Anolis sagrei: one gene and its partners. The protein of the gene in region 1 interacts with the protein of each later gene in a biochemical or structural test. Links are inferred from orthologs where the notes say so. Each region holds a gene or a part of one and is shown in the gene's direction. Other genes may lie near its edges. The genes, in order: HTR2C, APBA1, LIN7C and SNTA1.

What was found.
Region 2: the proteins of HTR2C (region 1) and APBA1 form a complex in vitro, tested with the Homo sapiens proteins (2 studies listed by BioGRID and IntAct, with this or other methods). The link is inferred for Anolis sagrei from reciprocal best matches to the Homo sapiens genes HTR2C and APBA1.
Region 3: the proteins of HTR2C (region 1) and LIN7C form a complex in vitro, tested with the Homo sapiens proteins (2 studies listed by BioGRID and IntAct, with this or other methods). The link is inferred for Anolis sagrei from reciprocal best matches to the Homo sapiens genes HTR2C and LIN7C.
Region 4: the proteins of HTR2C (region 1) and SNTA1 interact in a test that uses a peptide from one of them, tested with the Homo sapiens proteins (2 studies listed by BioGRID and IntAct). The link is inferred for Anolis sagrei from reciprocal best matches to the Homo sapiens genes HTR2C and SNTA1.

Annotation. Positions count from the first base shown.
Region 1 is NC_090030.1:22,079,853-22,087,110, forward strand, and holds the start of HTR2C (5-hydroxytryptamine receptor 2C), read left to right. Parts: upstream 1-4,242; 5' UTR 4,243-4,551; intron 4,552-7,258. UniProt on the Homo sapiens protein: G-protein coupled receptor for 5-hydroxytryptamine (serotonin).
Region 2 is NC_090022.1:222,038,587-222,045,462, reverse strand, and holds the start of APBA1 (amyloid-beta A4 precursor protein-binding family A member 1), read left to right. Parts: upstream 1-3,854; 5' UTR 3,855-4,034; intron 4,035-6,876. UniProt on the Homo sapiens protein: Putative function in synaptic vesicle exocytosis by binding to Munc18-1, an essential component of the synaptic vesicle exocytotic machinery. May modulate processing of the amyloid-beta precursor protein (APP) and hence formation of APP-beta.
Region 3 is NC_090021.1:260,813,137-260,820,060, forward strand, and holds the start of LIN7C (protein lin-7 homolog C), read left to right. Parts: upstream 1-3,922; 5' UTR 3,923-3,990; coding exon 3,991-4,027; intron 4,028-6,924. UniProt on the Homo sapiens protein: Plays a role in establishing and maintaining the asymmetric distribution of channels and receptors at the plasma membrane of polarized cells.
Region 4 is NC_090024.1:208,951,772-208,959,584, reverse strand, and holds the start of SNTA1 (alpha-1-syntrophin), read left to right. Parts: upstream 1-4,794; 5' UTR 4,795-4,913; coding exon 4,914-5,202; intron 5,203-7,813. UniProt on the Homo sapiens protein: Adapter protein that binds to and probably organizes the subcellular localization of a variety of membrane proteins. May link various receptors to the actin cytoskeleton and the extracellular matrix via the dystrophin glycoprotein complex.

The DNA of each region.
Region 1 (7,258 bases):
TGGCGCAGTGGGTTAAAGCGCTGAGCTGCTGAGCTTGTTGACCGAAAGGTCGCAGGTTCGATTCCAGGGAGCAGGGTGAGCTTCCGCTGTCAGCCCCAGCTTCTGCCAACCTAGCAGTTCGAAAACATGCAAATGTGAATAGATCAATAGGAACCGCTCCAGCGGGAAGGTAAGGGCGCTCCATGCAGTCATGCCGGCCACATGACCTTGGAGGTGTCTATGGACAACGCCGGCTCTTCGGCTTAGAAATGGAGATGACCCAGAGTCAGACATGACTGGACTTAAAGTCAGGGGACAACCTTTATTAATCATAATAATCAAACATGAATATCCTATTTGAAAGAAATCTTCCCAACCCTACAATGGGAGAGAGTCTTACAATATTTTGTCCTATCAAGGCTCTTAACAAGCATGTGTGTATGTGTATACTGTATATGCTGTATATGTGCGTGTTTACATAAAGTATACAAAGGTGACCTAATTGTATAACATTTATCATAATCTTGCCTTTCTTTTTGTCAAGGTATTTTTAGTCACTCAATGCCATTACGTATAGATTATGTATGTAACCATGATACACTATAAAATGCAATGCATCTTTCTGTACTTCATTTGTATTTGAAAAGTTCGCCCCTCCTCTTTCCTCTCTGCAAAGTCTTTTACTGTGAAATAAGTTTTGCACCTCTTCTCAATTCGGCCTTAGGTTTTCAAAGGCCAGGAATCTCTAGTGGTGCCTTTGCCAGCTTTTTCCTTTTACAAAGTTCCATTTCCCATCAGAAAGGGAACAAGGTCGGGAGGGCTTTGTGTTTTCCCTGCTTGGCAGCAAGAAGGGGTCACTGAGAAAAACCCTAATATCACAAAGGACTATCACCTCACCCACTCAATATGCCCAGATGTGAACACTGGTGGAGTTTGGGGAAAATAGAATCTTGACATTTGGGAGTTGTAGTTGCTGGGATTTATAGTTCATCTACAATCAAAGAGCATTCTGAACCTCACCAAGGTTAGAATTGGGCCAAACTTCCCACACAGAGACCCCCATGACCAACAGAAAATACTGTTTTCCGATGGTCTTTGGTGACCCTTCAGACACCCCCTTGTGACCCCTCTAGGGGTCCCAACCCCCAGGTAGAGAAACACTGATTTGAAGGCTTTGAAACAGAGGCTGGATGGCCATCTGTCGGGAATGCTTTGTGTTTTCTGATGGTCTTTGGTGACCCCTCTGACACCCCCTTGCGACCCCTCTAGGGGTCCCGACCCCCAGGTTGAGAAACACTGATTTTGAGGCTTTGAAACAGGGGCGGGTGGCCATTTGTCGGGAATGCTTTGTGTTTTCTTTTCTTTTTCTTTTTTTGTTTTGTTAAAACTGTTTATTTTGATTATGGTACATAACAGAAAAGCAAAACATGGCAGATAAAATAAGGTACCACTATTTTTGACGTGTACATGCCTATCTACCTTATTCAATCAATCAGTTAATTTTGTCATTAATTACAAATTATTATCATTTACATATCTTAATACACATAGACTTGCTATTTCTGCCTGTTTTCCACTGCTTTCAGTCAGAGCTTTGTATTAAATTTTTTCCATAACACTCAGGAAAACAGCACATGGCATTTTACACACATACCACAGACCTTACACTCATCTCAAAACCCCTATCCTAAACAAAATAAACCCTCATCCCCACACCCGTGCACCCTTCACCATGGCTTCCCACACCGAAACACTATGAAGCCTTTAAGCCTATTTATCTCTCCTTATTCATGGTAAACCTAAATTCCTAATGGAGCTCCTCTATATTGTTCATTCGTTCAGTCGTCTCCGACTCTTCGTGACCTCATGGACCAGCCCACGCCAGAGCTCCCTGTCGGCCGTCATCACCCCCAGCTCCTTCAAGGTCAGTCCAGTCCCTTCAAGGATGCCATCCATCCACCTTGCCCTTGGTCGGCCCCTCTTCCTTTTGCCTTCCACTTTCCCCAGCATAATTGTCTTCTCTAGGCTTTCCTGTCTCCTCATGATGTGGCCAAAGTACTTCAACTTTGTCTCTACTATCCTTCCCTCCAATGAGCAGCTGGGCTTTATTTCCTGGAGGATGGACTGGTTGGATCTTCTCGCAGTCCAAGGCACTCTCAGCACTTTCCTCCAACACCACAGCTCAAAAGCATCTCTCTTCCTTCGCTCAGCCTTCCCTAAGGTCCAGCTCTCACATCCGTAGGTTACTACAGGGAATACCATGGCTTTGACTAGGCGGATCTTTGTTGCCAGTCTGATGTCTCTACTCTTTACTATTTTGTCGAGACTGGACATTGCTCTCCTCCCAAGAAGTAAGCGTCTTCTGATTTCCTGGCCTCTATATTACTGACTCTCTATTCAGATATGCCATGGCCAACTTCCATTTTTCTAGAAAGTCCTCATTACTCTTATTCCTCCTGTTATAAGTTAGTCTGGCCATTAGCATATATTCTCGCATTCTTTCTCTCCAATCCTTTTTGGTTAGACCTTTTCCCCCTTTCCAATCTTTGGCTATGGTCAATCTTGCCGCTGCAAAGCTATATTGATATATTTCTTGGTCCTTTTGATTATTGTTTTCTCTCTGTAGACCTAGCAGACACAGTCCTGGGCTTTTTTTAAATCTTGTTATGTAACATTTTATTTGTCTCCTTAATTACCTTATCCCAAAATTCCTGTATGATCACACAGGTCCACCACATGTGGAGGAATGTCCCTTTCTGTTTCCTGCACCTCCAGCAAATACCTTGTTGTGATTTGTCTATTTTAGCCAATGTTGCTGGAGTGATATAACACCTATAAAACATTTTGTATTGATTCTCCCTGATTGAACCCGATGAAGTAAATTTGAATACTTTGTTCCATAGGTATTTCCATTTGTCCAGTTCTATTGGTCTGCCTAGGTCCTTGGCCCAGGATAACATTACTGTCTTGACTCTGTTGTTGTCCATGTTATAGCTTAGTATGTATTTGTATAATCTAGAGATTAACCCTTTATCCCCCTTTTCCCATGCTTTATGTTTTCTGATGGTCTTTGGTGACCCCTCCGACACCTCTAGGGGTCCTGACCCCCAGGTTGAGAAACACTGATTTGGAGGCTTTGAAACAGAGGCTGGATGACCATCTGTTGGGAATGCTTTGTGTTTTCTAATGGTCTTTGGTGACACCCCTGACATCCCCTTGCGACCCCTCTAGGGGTCCTGACCCTCAGGTTGAGTAACACTGATTTGGAGGATTTGAAACATAGGCCAGATGGCCATCTGTCGGGAATGCTTTGTGTTTTCTGATGGTCTTTGGTGACCCCTCTGATACCCCCTTGCGACCCCTCTGGGGTCCCGACCCCTAGCTTGAGAAACACTGATTTGGAGGCTTTGAAACAGAGGCTGGATGACCATCTGTCGGGAATGCTTTGTGTTTTCTGATGGTCTTTGGTTACCCCTCTGACATCCCCTTGCGACCCCTCTAGGGGTCCCAACCCCCAGGTTGAGAAACACTGATTTGGAGGTTTTGAAACATAGGCCTAGTCCTTGGAGACTAGGATGCGGAACAATGGCTTCAAACTACAAGAGAGGAGATTCCATCTGAACGCGAGGAAGAACTTCCTGACTGTGAGAGCCGTTCAGCAGTGGAACTCTCTGCCCTGGAGTGTGGTGGAGGCTCCTTCTTTGGAAGCTTTTAAACAGGGGCTGGATGGCCATCTGTCAGGGGTGATTTGAATGCAATATTCCTGCTTCTTGGCAGGGGGTTGGACTGGATGGCCCATGAGGTCTCTTCCAACTCTTTGATTCTATGATTTTATGAATGTGTCCAGAGGAGGGCGACTGAAATGATCAAGGGTCTGGAGAACAAACCCTATGAGGAGCGGCTTAAAGAGCTGGGCATGTTTAGCCTGAAGAAGAGAAGGCTGAGAGGAGACATGATAGCCATGTATAAATATGTAAGAGGAAGTCACAGGGAGGAGGGAGCAAGCTTGTTTTCTGCTTCCCTGGGGACTGTAGTGGAGGCTTTTAAACAGAGGCTGGATGGCCATCTGTCAGGGGTGCTTTGAATGCAATATTCCTGCTTCTTGGCAGAATGGGGTTGGACTGGATGGCCCAGGAGGTCTCTTCCCACTCTAGGAATCTATGATTCCTCAATGTGGGAGCCGTTCCAATCTGTCCCTATCAAGACTGAGGATGGGCGAATCCTTCTTTGCAGGCGGGAGAGATCCCTCCTAGCAGCCCAGCTCCTCCTCGAAGCAGCCCCCCCCCCTTTTCTCTCTGGAGGGAGGAAGCAGGGCTGCTGCTTTTGGAGGTGGTCGAGGAGGCGCCTTTAAGACGCGGAGAGGCGCTTTCCCCCGCTCTCTTCCTCCCTCCCTCCTTCCCTCCTTCCCTCTTTCCTTTGGTGGGTCACTCACTCATCCCCACTGGCGGCTGGAGAGAGGAACGGAGCCGCTGCTTCTCTCTGCCTCTTCCTTTCCCTCTTTTGTGGGGCGGCCATGGCCAAGAGGAGCCCCCAAAGGAGAGCCCCCCAAGCGTTGGGCGACAACCCTGCCAGGTAGGCTCCCGCGTCGGGTTTGGCTAGGAAATAGCCCTACGTTTGCCTCTTTTCGCGGCGCTGCAAGGGAAGGAAGGACTGAGTGATGGATTTGGGGGCATCCCTGGTGTGTGAATGCGGGCAGGAACGCGTGTCTCTCGCCTCCTTGCGCTTGGAGGCGCATTGCTTTGCGAGGTTTGGGGGAGGGTGATTCCTACAGGTTGCTTTCCCTCCCTCCCTCTGTCTCTTTCCCTCTTGGAAGAGCCACACTTGGAGGAATGAAGAGCTGGGTTGCTGTTTTCCGGGCTGCGTGGCCATGCTCCAGAAGCATTCTCTCCTGACCGTTTGCCTGCATCTATGGCAAGCATCTTCAGAGGGTTTAATGTATTGTCGAAGGTTTTAATGGCCAGAATCATTGGGTGGTTGTGTGTGTTTTCCGGGCTGTATGGCCATGCTCCAGCTGTATGGCCATGCTCCAGAAGCATTCTCTCCTGACCTTTTGCCTGTATCAATGGCAGGCATCTTCAGAGGGTTTAATGTCTTGTCGAAGGTTTTAATGGCCAGAATCATTGGGTTGTTGTGTGTTTTCCGGGCTGTATGGCCATGCTCCAGCTGTATGGCCATGCTCCAGAAGCATTCTCTCCTGACATTTCGCCTGCCTCTGTGGCAGGCATCCTCAGAGGTTAATACAGAAAACACACAACAACCCAATGATTCCCGCTATGAAAGCCTTCGAGAATACATTGAACCCTCTGAGGATGCCTGCCATAGATGCAGGCAAAAGGTCAGGAGAGAATGCTTCTGGAGCATGGCCATACAGCTGGAGCATGGCCATACAGCCCGGAAAACACACAACAACCCAATGATTCTGGCCATTAAAACCTTCGACAAGAGGGCCATACAGCCCGGAAAACACACAACAACCCAGCTATTCATTTCATGTATTGTCGAAGGCTTTAATGGCTGGAATCACCGGGTTGTTGTGTGTGTTTTCTGGGCTGTCTATCCATGCTCCAGAAGCATTCTCTCCTGATGTTTTGCCTGCACCTATGGCAGGCATCCTCAGAGGTTAACACAGAAAACACACAACAACCCAGTGATTCCTGCTATGAAAGCCTTCAACAATACATTGAATCCTCTGAGGATGCCTGCCATAGATGTGGGCGAAAGGTCAGGAGAGAATCCTTCTGCAACATGGCGATACAGCCCGGAAAACACACAACAACCCAGCGATTCATTTCATGTATTGTCGAAGGCTTTCATGGCTGGAATCACAGGGTTGTTGTGTATGTTTTCCGGGCTGTATGGCCATGCTCTAGAAGCATTATCTCCTGACGTTTCGCCCGCATCTATTGCAGGCATCTTCAGAGGATATGTGGCTATGTAGCCCGGAAAACACAACAACCCACTGATTTCGGCTATGAAAGCCTTCGACAATACATTGAACCCTCTGAGGATGCCTGCCATAGATGTGGGCGAAAGGTCAGGAGAGAATGCTTCTTCAACATGACCATACAGCTCAGAAAACACACGCAACAACCTAATGATTCTGGCAATTAAAGCCTTTGAAAATACATTGAACTGTCTGAGGATGCCTGCCATACATGCAGGCAAAAGGACAGGAGAGAATGCTTCTTCAACATGGCCACACAGCCCGGAAAACACACCTAACAACCCAATGATTCTGACCATTAAAGCTTTTGACAATACACTGAACCCTCTGAGGATGCCTGCCATAGATGTGGGCAAAAGGTCAGGAGAGAATGCTTCTGGAGCATGACAATACAGCCCAGAAAACACGCACAACAACCCAGTGATTCCAGCCATGAAATACATTGAACCCTCGGAGGATGCCTGCCATAGATGCAGGCAAAAAGTCAGGAGAGAATGCTTCTGCAACATGGTCACAAAGCCCTGAAAACACATACAACAACCCAGTGATTCCAGCCGTGAAAGCCTTCGACAATACATGGAACGAATAGCCATGGGAAGGCTCTGCAAGCCAACAGGAAGCCTACCTTTCCCTCCAAGAAGCCCTACTTGGAGGATGATGGGACTTCAGGAACGAGGGGTCCTTTCAGTGTATACTTCCTCACCCCCAAGGCATCCCAGTGGCTCTCTTGGCCCTTCCAGGACACCGTAGTCTTAATTGAATTGTGAGTCTTAATTGAATTGTGAGTTTTCTGTGCTGTGTGGCCATGTTCCAGAAGCATTCTCTCCTGACATTTCACCCACATCTATGACAAGCAACATCAGAGGTTGTGAGGTCTGTTGGAAACTAGGCAAATGAGGTTGATATATCTGTGGAAGGTTCAGGGTGGGAGAAAGAACTCTTGTCTGCTGGAGTCAGGTGTGAATGTTGCAATTAATCACCTTGATTAGCATTGAAAAGACTTACACCAGTAGACTGGAACGGGTTCATTGCTGGGATAGAAGAAAGAAGCCCAGGCACCAATTGGAGGATCTTGGAGATGCCAAAACCATTCCTTTGGGGGGTTTCGGTGAGGTACACCAAAGGGACACACAACCCAAGCTCTACAGTGGAAACATTTATTATTATTATTATTATTATTATTATTATTATTATTTTCTAATATTTTCTAATATTTTCTAACACAACCAAGCCTTTACTGGCATACACCAACACAATCACAACAAAGCAAGTGGAAGTCGCAGATAAAAAGGAACATAATGTACCCTCGAAGGCTTTCATTGCTGGAATATTGGT
Region 2 (6,876 bases), on another chromosome or scaffold:
CTATGGAAAATTGTTTTTAAGGGAGAATATTGTACGCTTAATTTTATATTGAAATTTGTTGTTCATTCGTTCAGTTGTTTCCGACTGTTCGTGACCTCATGGACCAGCCCATGCCAGAGCTCCCTGTTTGCTGTCACCACCCCCAGTTCCTTCAAGGTCAATCTAGTCACTTCAAGGATCCCATCCATCCATCTTGCCCTTGGTCAGCCCCTCTTCCTTTTTCCTTCCTTTTCCCCAGCATCATTGTCTTCTCTAAGCTTTCCTTTCTCCTCATGATGTGGTCAAAGTACTTCATCTTTGCCTCTATTATCCTTCCCTCCAATGAGCAGTCAGGCTTTATTTCCTGAAGTATGGACTGGTTGAATCTTCTTGCGGTCCAAGGCACTCTCAGAACTTTCCTCCAACACCACAGTTCAAAAACATCTATCTTCCTTCACTCAGCCTTCTCTATGTTCCAGCTCTCACATCTGTAGGTGACTGTGGGAAATAACATATATTGAGATATTGTATATTGAGATATTGTATAGTTTTTAGACTACAGTCTTATGCACACTTTATAAGGAGTAACCTCACTGAACACTGTAGGACTTCTACACAAGCATGCATAGAGTTGAAGTGTTAGTCTTTAACTTCTCTTAAATATTTAACCCAGGCAGTCCCTAAGTTACAAACATCTGACTAATAAATCACCAGTAGTTAAGAATGAGGATGAGACAACAGGAAGTGAGAGAAATCTGCCTCTAGGAAGAAAAGTCCACCATGGGGAAAAGGGGTCTCCACATCCGGGCATCCCCTGGGCAGTGTCCTTCCAGACAGCCAATTCTCTCACACCAGAAGTGACTTGCAGCTTCTCAAATCGCTCCTTACACAGGAAAAAAATGTTTCCACAACAAGCCAAAGTTTTTTAAATCTAATTATCAGACAGAAAATGAGGTGAAATTTGCTGAACAGGGGCACAGACAGCAAAACGATCACCACAATTTGCTCTAGATATATCATCGGTTGGCTTCAGTGTGCTCTCTGGTTGTAGGGTAAACCACAACTCCCACTATGGCGAGTCAGTCCCCTCAAACCCCTCCAGTAGGTTGAGTTAGTCATGTGCATTCTATGTGCCAAGTTTGATCCAGGTCCATCACTGGTGGGGGTCATAGTTTATCTGGTTGTGGATGAACTACAACTCCCAGAAAGAGAGGTCAATTTCCCTCCAAACCTCTCCAGTAAACAAATTTCAGCATGTTGGGTATGTGTGCCAAGTTTGGTCCAGATCCATCGGTGTTTGGGTTCATAGTGCTCTCTGGGTGTAGGTAAGCTACAACTCACCCAAATCAAGGTGAACTTCCCCCAAAGATGTGTGCCAAGTTTGGTCTGATTCCATCTTTAGTGGAATTTAGAGTGCTCATTGATTGCAGGTGAACTATATATCCCAGTACCTACAACTCCTATAAATCATGGTGAATTCTCCCCTCTAGTATGTTCAGCTGCTGATCAATTCCTGTTTGCTGTGTGCCATATAAAATAATAGGAAAGGGTTAAGGGAGAGGCCATGGGTGGGGTCATGCAAATTCCACACCAATGGAGAGAGTAAGAAACAGTGGGATGTCTGTGGAGGAGGAAACACATAACATCTAGGATGAAATTGCCCCCATATGAAAGCATTCACTTGGGTGGTGGGCAGTATGATGTTTGTGGAGGACATTGGCAGGCCTCTTGCACATGTTTAGGCACTCAGTATAACCTGCAGTATTATTGGAGGGAGGGCCATCGGTGTGTCCTGGGTAGTTGGGAGTTAGAGCTGTTTGTGAAGGCAGAAGTTTAGTCTTTATAAGTAGACACTCCAGCCACATACACACATACATATTTTCACTTTTATTATATGTGTGTGTGTACACACACACACACACACATAGAGTTGAAGTCCAAAACACCTAGAGAGTCCAAGTTTGCCCAGGCCTGTATCTCTACAGCAGTGTTTCTCAACCTTCCTAATGCCGCAACCCCTTAATACAGTTCGTCATGTTGTGGTGACCCCCAACCATAACATTATTTTCATTGCTACTTCGTAACTGTAATTTTACTACTGTTATGAATAGTAATGTAAATAACAGATATGCAGGATATATTTTCATTCACTGGACCAAATTTGGCACAAATACCCAAAATTTGAATACTGGTGGGGTTGGGGAGGTGATTGATTTTGTCTTTTGGGAGTTGTAGATGCTGGGATTTATAGTTCACCTACAATCAAAGAGCATTCTGAACTCCACCAACCATGGAATTGAACCAAGCTTGGCACACAACTCCCATGACAAACAGAAAATACTGGAAGGGTTTGGTGGGCATTGACCTTGAGTTTTGGAGTTTTAGTTCACCTATATCCAGAGAACACTCTGGACTCAAACAACGATGGATCTGGATCAAACTTGGCACGGATACTTAATATGCCTAAATGTGAAAACTGGTGGAATTGGGGAAAATAGACCTTGACATTTGAGAGTTGTAGTTGCTGGGATTTATAGTTCACCTACAGAGCATTCTGAATCCCACCAATGATAGAACTGGGCCAAATTTGCCACACAGGACCCCCATGAACAACATAAAATACTGTGTTATCTGATGGTCTTTGGTGACCTCTTTGACAACCCCTCAAGACACCTCCCCCTGGGGTCCCGACCCCCAAGTTGAGAAATGCTCCTCTTGATTTAGGCGATCCCTTATTGTCCAAGTAGGATAGTCCTCCAGGATCAGTGTACTGGCGGTGGGTCTGTAGGTGACTGTGGAGCCCTATTCTTGACTTGCATGTTCTCCCGCAGTGAGGGCATTGCCTTCCAGGTGGAAGGCGGTCTTGGTCAGGGTTGGCTTGACGCACCTTCCTCTTGGCACGTTTTTCTCTTTCCGTGCTTCTTCAAATTCTACAGCACTGCTGCTCACAGTAGACCTCCAACTGGAGCACTCAAGGACCAGGGCTTCCAAGTTCTCTGTGTCTATGCCAGAATTCTTAAGGTTGGCTTTGAGCCCATCTTTAAATCTCTTTTCCTGCCTACTAACATTCCATTTTCCATTCTTGAGTTCGGAGTAGAGCAACTGCTTTGGGAGACGGTGGTCAGGCATCCGGACAACGTGGCCGGACAAATGGAGTTAATGGTGGTCTTTGCTTCTTCCAGCACGCTGACATTTGTCCACTTGTCTTCCCAAGAGATGTGCAGGATTTTCCGGAGGCAGCGCTGATGGAATTGTTCCAGGAGCTGCATGTGACGTCTGTAGACAGTCCACCTCTCGCAGGTGTATAACAGGGTTGGGAGGACAATAGCTTTATAAACAAGCACCTTGGTCTCCCTACGGATGTCCCTACGCTGCTCTACAGCATAGATACAACCCTAGAGGTCTCTCATTGATAGGGCCTATTCTGAAGTCTTTGAGAAAGGGCTAAAAAGGACCTTATGAAACTACAAATCCCAGGAAGCCACAGCACTGGGGCAAACTTCGGCCCTGCAGGTGTTTTGGACTTCGACTCCCACCATTCCTAACAGCCGGTAGGCTGTTAGGAATGGTGGGAGTCGAAGTCCAAAACACCTGCAGGGCCGAAGTTTGGCCATGCCTGGTGTAGCTGGTCAGCGGGCCTAGTCCCTCCTCCTCCTCTTCCTCCTGTTTCCTCCCGCAGCCACATTGTGCTGGCCTTGCTTTGCGTTTGCAGAGATGTCCTTCCTTGCAGCTGCAAGCCTTGCAGCTCCTCCTCCTCATTGCCAGGCCCGGGAGTCACGCGGGCGCCGGAGGGGCGGGCCCAGGGAGGGGCCGGAGGGGCGGGGCTTGCTGGCTTTCCAGCGGGTGGGCTGCGGAGGAGGAGGAGGAGGAGGAGGAGGAGGAAGAAGAAGAGGAGGAGGAAGGAGGAGGGTGAAGATGGTGGAGAGGCGGCCGCAGCGCGCGCGAGAGGGAAAGAGGGCGCGCGCCTGCCTGGGCTCCCTTTTCTAACCTCCGCCTCCATCCAGATCCAGATTCCCCCCTCGATGCGCAGGTTCCCTGGAGGAAGGAAAAAGAAGGTAACCCTCCTCTCTTTTTTTTTCCTTTTGATTTGGGGGCGAGGGGAGAGAAATAATCAATGGGTAGCTCATCAATGGATAAGCTAACAACGGGGATCTTCTAAGAGATGGAAAGGAAGCTGAAGAGGGGCCTTGGGAGGAGGGGAAGGACTTGATGCATGCTTGCCTTGCTTGCCTCTGTATGTATTCAGTGCATGGAACTGGAGGGGAAAGGGATCATCAATGGTGCTGTTGGAGGGGGGAAAAATGGGGATCTCCCTGCCAAGCAAGAGGGCCTGGATGCATGCGGGGGTGTGCTTGCATGCCTCCATAGCAGTGCATTGGAAACCTAGAAGGAGAGAGATTGAGATTGGAGCCTGCTTCTCCTCTGCTCCAGATTTCCCTCCTTACTACAAATAAGCCTTACACCTAAATGGTTGGGAATTGGAGCCCGTTTCTCTTCTACTCCAGAGAGATCTCGCTGTCCTCCAAAATGAATATTTCTTTACACCTGTGTGGTTGGTAATATGGATTGGAGCCCTGTTTCTCCTCAGCTTCCTTCCATATAAATAAAATTGACACCTACATGCTTCATAATAGAGGACAAAATTGGAATCTGTTCCAGGGGAGTGCTCTCTTTCATGAATCAATGCTACTCCTAGATGGTTGGTAGTAGAGAACAGAATCAGAGCCTATGCTTCAAAGGATCTCTCCCTCCATATGAATTAATGTGACTCCTATATGGTTGGTGGTGGAGGGAGACCATAATCGGAGCCTAATTCTCCTCTGCTCCAAAGGATCTCCTCCTCCATGTGAATCAATGTTATATCTATATGGCTGGTAGTTGAGAATAGAAACAGAGCCAAATTCAACGCTGCTCCAAAGGATCTCTCCCTCCATATGAATTAATGTTACACATATATGCGCCAAAGGATCTCCTCCATGTGCTCCTCCTAGATGGTTGGTAGTAGAGAACAAAATCAGAGCCTCTGCTCCAAAGGATCTCTCTCTCTCTCCATATGAATCAGTATTACACCTATATGGTTGGTAGTAGAGGACAGAATCAGAGCCTAATTCTCTGCTCCAAAGGATCTCCTCCTCCATGTGAACCAGTGTTACTCTTGTATGGTTGGTAGTTGAGAATAGAACCAGAGCCTATTTCTCCTCTGCTCCAATTGATCTCTCCCTCCTTATAAATCAGTGTTACACCTATATGGCTGGTAGTAGGTAACTAAATCAGAGCCCATTGCTCCATAGGATCTCTCCATATGAATCAGTGTTACACCTGTATGGCTGGTAGTAGAAAACTAAATCAACTAAATCAGAGAATATTTCTCATTTGCGCCAAAGGATCTCTCCCTCCATATGGATCAGTGTTACTCCTGTATGGTTGGTAGTGGAAAACAAAATCAGAGCCTATTTCTCCTCCTCTCCAAAAGATCTCTCTCTCGCTATGAATCAATGTTACACCTATAGGGTTGGTAGTAGAGAACAGAATGAGAGCCTAATTCTCCTCTTCTCCAAAGGATCTCCCTCTCCATATGAATCAATGTTACTCCTGTATGATTAGTAGAGAACAAAATCAGAGCCTATTTCTCCTCTTCTCCATAGGATCTCTCCCTCCATATGAATCAGTGTTACACCTATAGGGTTTGGAGCCCCTGGTGGCGCAATGAGTTAAACCCCTGTGCTGGCAGGACTGAAGACCCACAGGTCGCAGGTTTGAATCCGGGGAGAGGCGGATGAGCTCCCTCTATCAACTCCAACTCCTCATGCGGGGACATGAGAGAAGCCTCCCAGAAGGATGATAAAAACATAAAATCAACTAGGCGTCCTCTGGGCAACGTCCTTGCAGATGGCCAATTCTTTCACACCAGAAGCGACTTGCAGTTTCTCAAGTCGCTCTTGACACGACAAAAAAAAACAACCCTATAGGGAACTAAATCAGATCCCATTTCTCCTCTGCTCCAAAGGAACTCTCCCTCCATATGAATCAGTGCTACTCCTATATGGTGGGTAGTAGAGAACAAAATTAGATAAAATAATAATAAAACTTTATATATATTCCACTCTATCTCTCCAAAGGGACTCAGGGCAAATTCCAAATATAAAAGGCAAACATTCAATGCCTGAATACAACAATACATCCATACTAACAAAATTTATACAACCCAACATATAAATACGAATTATAACTTAACAAACTAAATTAAATAAAAAGCACAGCCTATTATAATAGACATAAACAGAACATCAAACATCAAATGGAAACAATAATTTCCCATTTCTTTGGGGCAAATCGATTAGAGCCTTTTTCTCCTCTGCTTCAAAGGATCTCTCCCTCTATTTGAAATCAGTGTTACACCTGTAGGATTGGTAGTCGAGAACTAAATTAGAGCCCATTTCTCCTCTGCTCCAAAGGGACTCTCCTTCCATAGGAATCAGTGCTACTCCTATATGGTTGGTAGTAGAGAACTAAATCAGAGTCTATTTCCCCTCTGCTCCAAAAGATTTCTCCCTCCATATGGATCAATGTTACACCTATATTTATTTATTTACAGTATTTATATACCGCTTTTCTCACCCCTGGAGGGACTATATGGTTGGTAGTAGAGAGCAAAATGAGAGCCTATATCTCCTCTGCTCCAGAGGATCTCTCTTATTGAATGTTTGCCATTTTTGTCTTTGGAAGCTGCCTTGAGTCCCTTTGTGGAGAGAGAGCGGGTTAGAAATAAAGTATTATTATTATCATAATCCATAATAATAATAAATTGCACACCTGTATGACTGGTAATAGACCTCCCCCACTCCCCAGATACATTTTGCACCTACATGGTTGCGAACAGAGAACAGAATTGGGATT
Region 3 (6,924 bases), on another chromosome or scaffold:
CTGAACTCCACCAATGATGGAATTGAACCAAACACACAGAAGTCCCATGACCAACAGAAAATACTGGAAGGGTTTGGTAGGCATTGACCTTAAGTTTTGGAGTTGTAGTTCACCTACATCCAGAGAGCACTGTGGACTCAAACAATGATAAATTAGGACTAAATTTGGTGTGGATATGCAATATGTCCAATTGTGAACACTGGTGGAGTCTGGGGTAAACAGACCTTGGCATTTGGGAGTTGTAGTTGCTGGGATTTATAGTTCGCCCACAATCAAAGAGCATTCTGAACTCCACCAATTATAGATTGGGCCAAACTTTCCACACAGAACCCCATGACCAACAGAAAATACTGTGTTTTCTGATGGTCTTTGGTGACCCCTCTGACACCCCCCTCACAATCCCCCAGGGGTCCCGACCCCCAGGTTGAGAAACGCTGCAATAAAGGCATTTCAATGAAATACTATTAGAATCTTACTGATGTACAAACTGTTAAAAAGTAGAACAGAAATCCCTTTAAGGTGGTTGATTCAGCTGCATCTGCATGGCCATGTATCAGGGAGGCATCTACTGAGGATTTTATGCATCAGGAGAAGTTAAGATTAAACTCTGAGTCTATGATCTCATACATTTTAATTATTTATCTACTGAAATTTTAATTCTCCATTCTTTATCCACGGCTCTCAGGATGACACATAGTAAAATCCATGTTGACAGTTTACAACATTTGAAAATAATAAAAGCAATTCGAATAGACCTAAAACACATTAAAGGATCTGACAAGTTAACACAAGTTTAAAACCAGTCAAAGCAGTTTAAGACCATTTAAACCATGCAAGTGCACAGGTATATCCATTTAATAAACTAGCCCCAAAGGCTCTGGCACAAATGTTTTCTCTTCGTATGGGAGTGCCACCACCACCAGTGCCAAATGGCTTCTAAGAAGGAGAGTACAATTAGCCCTTCACATCCACGCACATTAGGGATCCTTGCAAAAATGGAAAACCACTGCTAAGACTGCTAAACTCTTCCACAAACATGCATCCTTATGGAGCCACCAAGACACTGCTGCCAGATTTTTAATGCCCTTTCTCCAGTCTCCAGTGACTTTCTCTCTTTACTCCTCTTCCTCCCAGTTCTCCTCCCTGGATCACATGTCCTTCCAAAAGCACTGTCAGGTTTTAAACCCCTTGCAACCCCGCAACCCATTCAAGTATCAAGGTTTGTTTTATTACTAGCAACTTGAATTCAGAAAAAAACATACTGGCAGGCAATGCAATTCCTTTAGAAACAGTGTGAGCTGCAAGGCCATGCAAAGCTAATCTGGCATGGGCAAATCTTTTCAGGTGTTGTGGAATTCGGAACTAAAATTGGAAGTTTCCCACTTCCGACTTGGGTTCTGATGTACAATGGTGAGTTGGAAGACCCCTATAGATCCGAAGTGACCCGGGCTATTGATTTCAATGGTTCGGAAGTCAATTCGGATGTCTGACTAAGTTAGCCTGCTGGGAGGTGCAGCCTAAAGTGCTTGCCTCCTAGCCAATCAGGGATTACGTTTGAAAATAAGAGGGGTTATCAACATATGGCTTACTGGCTCATTGCAGGGCAGGGATGAGAGTGGTTGTTGGGTGTTTTTGCTGCTGCTGTTGACTGGGTGGATGGAAGGGGAGGCAAGGCGATAGGCACTGCAGCCCACACTTTGAAGGTTTGAACAAGAGAAGAAGGGAGAAGGGGGGAAGGAAGAAAAGTTTTGGAGAGAGAAAGAGGGAGAAAGAAGATTGAAGAAAACATTTGGGAAGGAGGGAGAAAAAATTAATCAAGCATGAGAAGACTTTGAGTGCTGGGTTTTTTCTTGGGGTTCAAACAGCCTGCCTTTTGCCTTTGCTTGTTGCTTGTGTTGGATAATATATCCCATTAGTCCTACTGCACCCTCGTGGTCTGCCTTCCTCATGCCTGAGGGAATGCATCCAAGTTATTTCTTTTGGGGGGTCCACCAGCCTGCCTTTCGCCTTTGCTTGTTGTGATCCCCTATTACCTTATGTCTTTTCTGAGAAAATTCAAGGAGGCAGCTCTTTTTTAAAAAAAGAAAATATTTTTGCAATTCTTTAAAAAAAACTCTTAAAAATCAGTGGATCATGTGAACATGTTCAAATTTGGTATGCTAACAGAGGAGGATGTGTTCTACCAGTATATCAATAGAATTGGTCTAAAAATGAGGGAGAGAGAAGCCCCTGAAGTTTCCCCAGTGCCAGTGCTGTTTTTCCCTCATTGCGCAATCATGTCCGCCATTAATGAATCAATTTGGAAGTTTCGGAAAGTTTCATTTTTTTAAAAAAAAAAAATTCAGAAGTGACTTTAGATTCAAACCACTAGTGTCCCCTACTTTTGAACACAGTTTAGAACCTTTTATTTTATTTTTTTTAGATGGCCCATGCCTATCAGGGTTGCTAATTGCAACATTCACATTTGCCTCAAACAGAGAGTTCTTTCTTGCACCCTGGACATTCCATCTATCTGTCTATACACATAATAAAAGTAAAAGTGAAAATGTGTCTGTGTGTATGTGGCAAAGATATCCACCTAAAAAAGATAACATCCTGCCTCCTGCAGTGCTAAGGAGCCACCAGAGCTCCTTAGCACTCCCTCCAGGGACATTGCAATGAGCACCATGAACGTGTCCAAAAGCCCTGCCAATGACCTCCACAAACACCATACTGCCCCCCGCTCAAGTGAAGGCTTTCATATTGGAACAATTTCATCCTGGATTTCATGTTTTTCCACCAGAATGGACATCCTAGGATTCCTTTCTCCCTCCATTGCTGTGTAATTTGCATGACCCCACCCACTGCCTCTCCCTTAACCCTTTCCTACCCTTTCGTATGGTTTGGAGAGTAGTTCACCCTGCACCCAGAACACTGAAACCCACCAATGACAGAGCTGGACCAAACATGGCATACAGTACCCTGGTGACCAACTGAATATATTGAAAGGGTTTGGTGGAGGACTATCCCACCTGCGTGGGAGCTGTAGTTCACCCTGCACCCAGAAAGCATCCTGAAGCCCCAATGGGAGATCTAGAACAGTCGCCTTCGGGCTGAGAGTGGCGGTTAACAAGTGCAAATAATAAATAATAAATAATAAATAAATAGAACAAACGTGGCACACAGAACCGTGATGAGCAACAGAACATACTGGAAGGGTTGGAGGGGGAATTACCCACCTGTGTGGGAATTGTAGTTAATCCTACATCCAGAACCCCATCTATGTCAGATCTTGACCAAACTTGGCACACAGATCCAACATGCCCAACGGTGAATAAAGGCAGAGGTTGTTTTTTGGGGGGGAGGGGATTGCCCTGGGAATCTGGGAGTTGTAGTTAACCCTACATCTAGAACCCCATCAATGACAGATCTTGACCAAGCTTGGCACACAGATCCAACATGCCCAACTGTGAATACAGGCGGAATTTGGGGGGGGGGGGGTGATTGCCCTGGGAATCTGGGAATTGTAGTACACCTGCATCCAAAGAAACGGTGACCCTTACTGACAATAAAGCGGAATCAAACTTGGCACAGAGAAGCCCAATGAGCAACCGAACATACTGCAGGCTTTGTGGGAATTGGCCTTGATTGTGGGAGTTGTAGTTCACCTACACCCAGAGAACTCTGTACCCAGCCTGGTGTAGATATACGCCTTGTAACACTTCTCCAGCTCCCAGGACTCCCTAGCATTGAAGCAGGACAGCTACAGTAGCGACAGTAATGTCAGACTGTGTCAATTGCACAGCGTAGCTGCCCCAGGTCCTCTCTTTGCGCGCAGCACGAGACTGAACAGGGGGGAAGCCCTTGGTCAGTTTGCAAAAGGCGCTAAGGCCGTGCAAAGGGCGTTTTGCAAAAGGAAGGGAGGCGGGCCGAGCCCATCCTCTTCCTCGCAGCAGCTCCGCCTCGCCCGGGCGTCACTTCCCCGGGAGGAGAGAGGAAGAGGAGGAGAAGATGGCGGCGCTGGGGGAGCCTGTACGCTTGGAGAGAGGTGAAAACCGAGGGGGGCGGGGGTTGGTGGGGTTTCCCAGCCAGATACTCAGTCAGTCAGTCCGGGGAGGATCCGCAGAGCAAGAGGGGCGCGCGCGCAGGGCGCAGAGCCAGAGCTCTTGTTTACAAGGCAGTCGTTTAAAGGACGGTCGCAGCGCGTGGGGCTGATCAGGAAGCAGCTCTTAGGACCCTTGTCTCCCAGCTAAAGACCCAGTGAAAGTGCAGCCAGTATAGCCCTGATCCTGGATGTTTGGGACCAGCAGTGTTTTGGATGTCTGATAGATAATTCCCCCTCCCCCGCCAGATTTTGGAATATTTGTTGTTAGAGGCAATGCCACTCTGGGTTTTTGTGAGTTTTCCAGGCCATGTTCCAGAAGCAGTCTCTCCTGACGTTTCGCCTGCATCTATGACAGGCATCCTCAGAGGTTGGGGAAGTCTGTTGGAAACTAGGAAAATGGGGTTTATATATCTGTGGAATGTCCAGGGTGAGAGAAAGAACTCTTGTCTGTTGGAGGCAGGTGAGACTGTTGCAATTGACAACCTTGATTAGCATTTAATAGCAGATAGGTAAACCCCAATTGCCTAGTTTCCAACAAACTTCACAACCACGGAGGATGCTTGCCACAGATGCAGGCAAAATGTCAGGAGACAATGCTTCTAGAACGTGGCCATACAGCCCAAAAAACCTACAACAACCCAGACCTCACAACCTCTGAGGATGTTTGCCAAAGATTGAGGTGAAACGTCAGGACAGAATGCTTCTGGAACATGGCCATACAGCCCAGAAAACTCACAACAATCCAGTGCCACTCTGTAAGTAGTTTATAGGCTTACCAGGAAAGGGGGGGGGGAGACTGTTGCCCTAAATTCCTCTATTCCAAGACCACCAGATTTCTGAGAACTCCTTGATTCATATTATTTAATAGTTGAAAACATGACTTCTCTCTGATTCTCTCCCTCGTCATAGTAAGTGCTACAGGTTGAGTATTATCCGAAATACTTGCCTTCAGCATTGGGTGCCTTTTTTTTCACTCTCCAGATTTTGCCATACCTGTTAGTAGCAGTGTCAATGGGGGCATCTACACCAGGAATCTACACTTGGGACCTTCAGGCGTTTTGGACTTCAACTCCCACAACTGGCTGTTTGGAATTGTGGGAGTTGAAATCCAAAACACCTGGAGGGCCCAAGTTTGCCCGTGTCTGATCTACACCATAGAATGTATGCAGTTTGGCACCAGTTTAACTGCTACAGCTCAATTCTATTGGAAGCATGGCAGATGTAGTTTTACAAGTTCTGTAGCCTTCTCTGCCAAAGTGCTGGTGACTCACCAAAATGCAAATCCCATGATTCCACAGCATACAGCCATAGCAGTTAAAAGTGGTATCAGACTGCATTAATTCTACAGTGTAAAAGCACCCGATATCACTCTGTCAGCAGTTTATAAGCTTATATATTAGGAAAGGAGCAGAAACAGACCATCAGATTTCTAAGAACTCATTCATAGAATCATAGAATCAAAGAGTTGGAAGAGACCTCCAGTCCAACCCCCTGCCAAGAAGCAGGAATATTGCATTCAAATCACCCCTGACAGATGGCCATCCAGCCTCTGTTTAAAAGCTTCCAAAGAAGGAGCCTCCACCACACTCCGGGGCAGAGAGTTCCACTGAGAGTTCATTGATTAGTATTATTTAATAGCGCAAACATTTCCACTCTCATATCTTCACTTTCATTGTGTGTATACTATTACAGTAAAAGTAAAGGTTTCCCCTAACATTAAATCCACTTGTGTCTGACTCAGGGGAGTGGTGCACATCTCCATTTCTAAGCCAAAGAGCCGACGTTGTTCATAGAGGCCTCCAAGGTCATGTGGCTAGCATGACTGCATGGAGTGCTGTTACCTTCCTGCCGAAGCGGTACCCATTGATCTACTCACATTTGCATGTTTTCAAACTGCTAGTTGGCAGAAGCTGGGGCTAATAACGGGAGCTCACCCCACTACCCAGATTTGAACCACTGACCTTTCAGTCAGCAAGTTCAGCATCTCGGCATTTAACCTGCTGCACCACTGTGGGTTTCATGTATACTACTACACATTGAGTATTCCTATTCACACATGTTCAAGATCAGAAATGTTTGGGATTTTGGAATAGTTGCATTTGCATGTACATACGTAAGAGGATATCCTGGAGATGGGACCCGTCTAAACATGAAAATCATGTTTAGACTTTACACATAGCTTGAGGATATTTTTTAATAATTTTATATATGAAACCCAATTTGTGTAGACTGAAACATCAATGTTTTTAATCATTTTATGCATGAAACAAATATTGTCCAGATTGATTGAATCGTCCGGAAGCAAAGGTCTCACTATCTCAACCAGATTATTCCAGAGATAAGTGAGGTCCAACCTGTCCTGTATTGGTTTAAGTTGAAGTAGCAAAGTGCTCTTCTATGAAATTAAAATCCATACATTACATGAAATACACAATAGCCCATATACAAATATAGGCCACCCCCCCCCCCCCAATGTATGTACTCTTTAACAGTTAATTGTAGCTATGGTGATTATGAGCTTCCAAATTGATCAAAGGTCTAGAAACGTAGCCCTATGAGGAGTGATTTAGGGAGTTAGGTATGTTTAGCTTGGAGAAAAGGCTGGCAGGGGACATGATAGCCATGTTTAAATATTAGAAAGAGTGTCACATGGAGGAGGGGGCAAGCTTTTTTTTCCTGCTGCTCTGGAGACTATACTATACTGATCACTTAAGTCAGTTTCAAATTGGTATTGAAGAAAATAGTTTTGCTGTGCAGATGATTACATAGGAATTCCTGTCTGAAGCCTAGATGGTGATGACACAAACCACAGAGCACTGATGTACATTAAGGACTTTCTT
Region 4 (7,813 bases), on another chromosome or scaffold:
ATATTTGACACAAAATGTTTATGACAAATGTTTATTCAGTTCTTCATCCATGGAACATGGATCAGTGTTCCCCAAATGCCTCCATCCTTACAACCATCCTGTGAGATAACACGTGAGCCCTGGTTATCCCATGAGCTCCATAGCCAAGTGCTAATTTGAACTTACAGACCCCATATGATACTAATTACTATACTAATTGGTACTGAGCCCCCGGTGGCGCAGTGGGTTAAACCCCTGTGCCGGCAGGACTGAAGACCGACAGGTCTCAGGTTCAAATCTGGGGAGAGGCGGATGAGCTCCATCTATCAGCTCCAGCTCCTCATGTGGGAACATGAGAGAAGCCTCCCACAAAGATGACAAAAACATCAAAAATCATCCAGGCGTCCCCTGGGCAACGTCCTTGCAGATGGCCAATTCTCTCACACCAGAAGCGACTTGCAGTTTCTCAAGTCCCTCCTGACACGACAAAAAAAATACTAATTGGTAATAATAATTAGTCCCCTGGTAGCGCAGAGGGTTAAATCACTGAGCTGCTGAACTTGCTGACCGAAAGGCTGGTGGTTCGAATCTGGAGAGCGGGGTGAGCTCCCGCTGATAGGCCCAGCTTCTGTCAACCTTGCAGTTCAAAAACATGCAAATGTGGGAAGGTAGCTTGTGCTCCATGCAGTCATGCTGGCCACATGACCTAGGAGGTGTCTATGAGCAATGCCAGTTCTTTGGCTTAGAAATGGAGATGAGCACCCCCTAGTCAAACACGACTAGACTTAATGTCAGGGGAAACTTTTACCTTTACTTCACTATACTAAGCTCTCCAAATTTTCAAGATAATGAGGAAAATACATTTTCAAACTCAAATGGGGAGTTCCAGCTGTAAAATGTCATGGAAGCTGCTTGCTCTTAACATTTGTTATTGGCACAACAAAGAGCTACTATTAAGGTTAGTGACAAACAACAAGTGTACCTATTTTCCTCTGACAAATGCATCTGCCTGTGGCAGGCCATTCAAGGAGGGAAACAGAACAATCCACAGGGAATGTAATGTCGAAGGCTTCCATGGCTGGAATCACTGGGTTGTTGTAGGTTTTTCGGGATATATGGCCATGTTCTAGAAAAACCTACAACAACCCAGATCCACAGGGAGTTTTCTCCTAGCGGAGGACAGACCTTCTTGTGGTAATTCAGACCATGTTTACACTGCCCAGTAACATTATGTTTTTGGGAGTGGTGTACAGAAAGAAAAATAAAACCACAGAAATATTTCCTGAAGTGCAAAACATTCTAAACACGGAATCTAAACAATAGCAGCAACAGAAGCACCCACCGTCTATACAAGTCAAAAGAATTCTTGAAAAGGATTGTTTTCATTTTATCAAGACTTTTCAGTGTTTGAGCTCTGTTAGAAGGGCCTTTTCCTCTCTTGCTGATCAATATGTTGTGGAAAGATATGGGGGTGGGGGGTGGGGGAGCACCTCAATTGTGGAATGCCCTTCTTTTGGAGGACCAATGAAGGCTTCATTTCAGCACAATGTCAACCATGGCTGTTTATTAGTACCTTTGGAGCCATGTTGATTTATTTCTAACACATTCAAGCCCATAGCTAGAACGTTTTAGTATTTTAAATCTATTTTTGACTCGTTGAAAGTGTTGAATATATATTTTAGTCTGTTTAAATGAGGACTCTTGTTTTAAAGAGTTTTAAAATTGGTGTAACGCAGGCAAACCTATGCCCTCCAGTTGTTTTGGACTTCACCTTCCACAATTCCTAACAGCCTCAGGCTTTAGTGGCTGAGGGGAAAAGGAAAGGGCCCGAGGCTGTTAGGAATTGTGGGAGTTGAAGTCCAAAACACCTGGAGGGCCCAAGTTGGCCCATGTCTGGTTGAACGTGTGTATCACTCTGAGATGTTATAGGGCAAAATAAAGTTGCCCCTCATCATATTGGGTTTTTTAAAAGACTGTTTGAATTAGGTTCATTGATTTGAAGAGTTTTAAATTGATTTGACTTGTGTGCCACCAGGAGATCTTACAGGGCAGTATATATTTGTGGGTTTCTTTTGTGTGGATTTGATTATTATTTGTGAGTTTTTAGCTCTGCCACCTTGCCCCTCTCTGCCTGCCTTGTTTGGGGCCATTTCAGGCCCCTGGGCATCTCCAAAGGCGACGCAATGGGTTAAACCCTTGTGTCAGTAGGACTGCTGACTGAAATGTCAGTGGTTTAAATCCAGGGAGCTTCCATCTATCAGCTCCAGCTTTTCATGCAGGGACATGAGAGAAGCCTTCCACAGGATAGTAAAACATCTGGGCGTCTCCTGAGCAATGTCACACCAGAAATGAAAAAAAAATCTCCAAATCTCCAAAGGTCAAGCAGACAGATCCCTACTCTTCCACCAGATATCTTGGCTGCATCTATTCCACCTGTCAAATTCAAGGCCCAAAGGCCTAACTATTTTATGTGACCCTCTTCCAGATGGACTACAATTACTGCATCCCTCATCCCTCATTTAAACATGACTAGGCCTGATGGGAATTGGGACACAGTAAAATTGGGAGGCTGCACTTTGTTCTGTTTAGTCAGGACAGTAGAGTTTGAATTTAGCTCTTGCTCCTGCCAACCTATCAGTTCAAAAATATGCAAATGTGAATAGATCAATAGGTATCGCTTTGACGGGAAGGTAATAAAGGCGTCCATGCAGCCATGCCAGCAACAAAACTAGGTGGTGTCTATAAACAACAGGCTACTCAGCTTGGAAATGGAATAAAAGTAACTCCCTGTGGTCAGCATTGAACGCTGCTTCCCAAAACTGGAGATGAAAGGGAAAGCCTGTAAAATAGTTCAAGAATTCTGGAAAAAGGTGGTGAAAGAAACAAACAATATGATTAACAAAAAGGTCAAGGAAAACCCAGAAATGTGGTTAGTAGGACTATTTAGAAGGTGTATTTGCACAAGAAATGAAGAAATTTATCAATATTGCTTTGTTGCTGTGAGACTAATAATAGCTAAAACATGGAAGGGTGGAAAAAGAGTTCGCTATCAAAGATTGGAGAGATAAATTAGTAGATTCTATCCAAATGGCCAAGCTGACAAATAGTAGCAGAGGAAGAAATAATGAAGGATTTGCAAACAAATGGAGGCTGGCACTTGGACATCAGGAAAAGAAGACAAAGGTAGATTTGAAGATTTCCACAAAGAGATTTTATGAAAGAAGACATATGGGTAGTTGCTGGGTAGTTATGTGATCCACATTGAGGGGCGTCAGACACCATGGGGGTTGGATTCACGGATGTGGGGTTAGATGGATAAGAAATGGGGTTAGATGGATAAGAATGCTCTTTGATTGTATGTGAACTATAAATCCCAGCAACTACAAACGTCAAGGTCTATTTTCCTCAAACAACACCAGTGTTCACATTTGGGCATATCGAGTATTTGTGCCAAGTTTGGTCCAGATCCATCATTGTTTGAGTCCACAGTGCTCTCTGGATATAGGTGAATTATAACTCCAGAACTCAAGATCAATGGCCCACCAAACCCTTTCAGTACTTTCTGTTGGTAGAGGGAGTTCTGTGTGCCAAGTTTGGCACAATTCCATCGTTGGTGGAGTTCAGAATGCTCTTTGATTGTAGGTGAACTATAAATCCCAGCAACTACAACTCCCAAATGTCAACATCTATTTTCTTCAAACAACACCAGTGTTCACATTTGGACATATTGAGTATTCATGCCAAGTTTGGTCCAGATCCACCATTGTTTGAGTCCACAGTGCTCTCTGAGTGTAGGTGAACAACAACTCCAAAATTCAAGGTCAATGGCCCACCAAACCCTTCCAGTATTTTATGTTTGTCATGGGAGTCACTGTGCCAAGTTTGGCCCAATTCCATCGTTGGTGGAGTTTAGAATGCTCTTTGGTTGCAGGTGAACTATAAATCCCAGCAAGTACAACTCCCAAATGTCATGGTCTATTTTCCTCAAACAACACCAGTGTTCACATTTGGACATATCGAGTATTTGTGCCAAGTTTGGTCCAGATCCATCATTGTTTGAGTCCACAGTGCTCTCTGGATGTAGGTGAACTACAACTCCAAAACTCAAGGCCAATGGCCCATAATAATAATAATAATAATAATAATAATAATAATAATACTTTATTTATACCCCGCTACCATCTCTCCATGGGACTCGGTGCGGCTTACATGAGGCTGAGCCCGTAATACATCAATACAAGCAATAACAGACACAATACAAGGCCCACCAAACCCTTCCAGTACTTTCTGTTGGAAGAGGGAGTTCTGTGTGCCAAATTTGGTTCAATTCCATCCTTGGTGGAGTTCAGAATGCTCTTTGGTTGTAGGTGAACTATAAATCCCAGCAACTACAACTCCCAAATGACAAAATCAATCCTCCCCCATCCCAGTGGTATTCATATTTGGGCGTACCAGGTGCCAGATTTGGTCCAGTGAATGAAAATACACCCTACATCTCAGATATTCACATTATGATTCATAACAGTAGGAAAATGACAATTATAATGTGATGTTTGGGGGTCAGCACAACCTGAGGAACTGTGTTGAGGGGTCGCGGGGCATTAGGAAGGCTGAGCAACACGATGCCGTTTGTCACCCCTGGCACTGCTTTACTTAGCTCGACGCTGTGGCATCAGGGCAGTTGTCATTGGGCGAGACCTTGCCCAAGTGCGGCTCCCGGGATTCCAGGGCATGGAGCCTTAGCAGTGCAAAGCGGTGCCAACCCGCGTTGGTTCCTCGGTGTGGAGGCGCGGGGCGGGAGGCGCCGGGGGCGTTGCTCGGTGGGCGGAGAGGCGGAGAGGCGGCGGGGCTGGAGCCGGAGTCCGTCCACCGAAGGCAGAGCGAGGAAGCAAGGAAGGAAGGAAGGGAGAGAGGGAGGAAGGAATGCGCTGAAGATGGCGGCCGGGCGGCGGGCGCCCAAGAGCGGCTTGCTGGAGCTGCGGGCGCCGGGCGAGCAGTGGTTGCGGGTCCTGCTGGCTCTTTCCGAAGACTTCTTGAGCGTCAGTCCCGGCGGAGGAGGAGGAGGAGCGGGGAAAGGGCCCGAGGAGACGCCGCCGTCCAGCCCCGGGCAACTGAATGGCGGGGACCCGCCGCCCGCCCTGGTCCCGGACGCCCTCACCAACATTAAGCGCACCGTCCGGATCGTCAAGCAGGACGTGGGCGGCCTTGGCATCAGCATCAAAGGTGGGTCTCCTTCTCCTCCTCTTCTTTTCTGGGGCTCCCCGAGAGGTCGCTCTCTGCCCGTTCTCCCCCTTGATCGCCTAGCTAACCTTTCACCCTCTGGAGCCCCTTTTAAACCTGCTTTCTTTAGTTTAGCCCCTTGCCAACGGGATCCGGACTAAGTTTGTTTCCTTCCCAGCTGCGCCAGGAAAGCGCTGGAGGAGAAGTCCCCCCTTGGAAGAAGTTCCCGAGAAGAGAAGGAAAGGGGGAATTGCCCTTGAGAACATGGGAAAGTGAATTTTCCAGGCTATGTTCCAGAAGCATTCTCTCCTGACGTTTCGCCCACTTCTGTGGCAGGCATCCTCAGAGGTTGTGACGTTGAAACGTCAGGAGAGAATGCCTCTGGAACATGGCTTTACAGCACGGAAAACTCACAACAAGCCAGTTGTGAGGTCTGTTGGAAACTAAGCAAGTGGGGTTTATATAGCTCTGGAATGTCCAGAGTAGGAGAAAGAACTCTTGTGTGTATTGCCAAGGCTTTCATGGCCGGAATCACTGGGTTGTAGGTTTTTCAGGCTGTATGGCCATGTTCTAGAAGCATTCCATCTGATCATTAGGAAGAACTTCCTGACTGTGAGAGCAGTTCAGCAGTGGAACTCTCTACCTCAGAGTGTGGTTGAGGCTCCTTCTTTGGAAGCTTTTAAACAGAGGCTTGATGGCCATCAGTCAGGGGTGCTTTGAATGCAATTTTCCTGGTTCTTGGAAGGGGGTTGGACTGGATGGCCCATGAGGTCTACTCCAACGCTATGATTCTATTAATGATTCTAGATCATGGCCATACAGCCCGAAAAACCTACAACAACCCAACTCTTGTCTGTTTGAGGCATTTGTGAATGTTGCAGTTGGCAAACTTGATTAGCCCTGAATAGCTTGGAAGCTTCAAGGCCTGGCTGTTTCCTGCTTGGGGGGATCCTATGTTAGGAGGTGTTAATATCAATCAAGCTGGCCAATTACAACATTCACACTTGCCTCAAACAGACAAGAGTTGCTTCTCCCACCCTGGACATTCCACAGATATATACAACCTCACCTAGTTTCCTCACAATCTCTGAGGATGCCTGCCATAGATGTGGGTGAAACATCAGGAGAGAATGCTTCTGGAACATGGCCATACAGCCTGAAAAACCTACAACAACCCAACTCTTGTCTATTTGAGGCAAGTGTGAATGTTGCAATTGGCTACCTTGATTAGCATTGAATAGCCTAGAAGCTTCAAGGCCTGGCAGTTTCCTGTCTGGGAGGATCCTATATTGGGAGGTGTTAATACTAATCAAGCTGGCCATTTGCAACATTCACATCTGCCTCAGACAAAAATTCTTTCCCACCCTGGACATTCCACAGATAAATAAACCCCACTTGCCTAGTTTCCAACAGACCCCTCAACCTCTGAGGATGCCTGCCATAGATTTGAGCAAAACGTCAGGAGAGAATGCTTCTGGAACATGGCCATACAGTTCCAGAAAACTCACAGCAACCCAATTGTGAGGTCTGTTGGAAACTAGGCAATTTGGGTTTATATAGCTCTGGAATAATATCCAGGGTGGGAGAAAGAACTCTTGTCTGAGGCAAGTGTGAATGTCGTACTTGGCCAGTTTGATTAGCATTGAATAGCCTGACAGCTTCAAGGCCTGGATGTTTCCTGCCTGGGGGGATCCTATGTTGAGAAGTATTAATACCAATCAAGCTGGCCAATTGCAGCAGACAAGAGCTCTTTCTCCCACCCTGGATATTCCACAGATATATAAACCTAGTTGCCTAGTTTCCTCACAACCTCTGAAGATTCCTGCCATAGATGTGGGTGAAATGTCAGGAGAGAATGCTTCTGGAACATGGATATACAACCCAGAAAACTCACAGCAACCCAGTGATTCTGACCATGAAAGCCTGCGTCAACACCATGGAGGTGTCTAGAGACAATACTGGCTCTTCGGCTTAGAAATGGAGATGAGCACCAACCCCAGAGTCAGACACGACTGGACTTAATGTCAGGAGAAAACATTTACTCAAAGCAGCCAAAGAGGAAGCTAAGGACCTTTTTGAAAACTGCAACCCCCGGAATTCCATAGCATTGAGCCTTGGCAGTTAAGGTGGTGTCAAGCTGCTTGCAGTGTTGATTCCCCCTTGGAAGGCCTTGCCTTCCTTCACCCTTCCTGCCCATCCCAGGCATCCCAAGCACTTGCCATATGCCTCTTTCTCAGGCAAAGGGTGTTGCTTGAGCTTCCCACCCAAGGAATGGTGCTGGGTAGGGATGTTCAGGCTTCCCTGCGGATGTGGGATTGCAGTGACATTTCCACCCAGAAAGTGCACCTGTGGATTCCGATTTGTGTGAACCCATTCTTGAGTGTGTCTTCTTCAATCTGAACTGTGATTTCATTACAAAATGTACTGTCACTGCCACTTATATATAGAAATCATGTTTTGTAGAATATATATAAAATTAATATATAAAAATAATAATGATTATATATATATCTTACTCCTTTGGAACCACATACAATCAAATCTCAGGTTCTTAGTTGTGGTTTTATAGTGTGCCTTCTGAAGGTTAAAAAGGTCGGAAAGTTCTGTTCTTGTA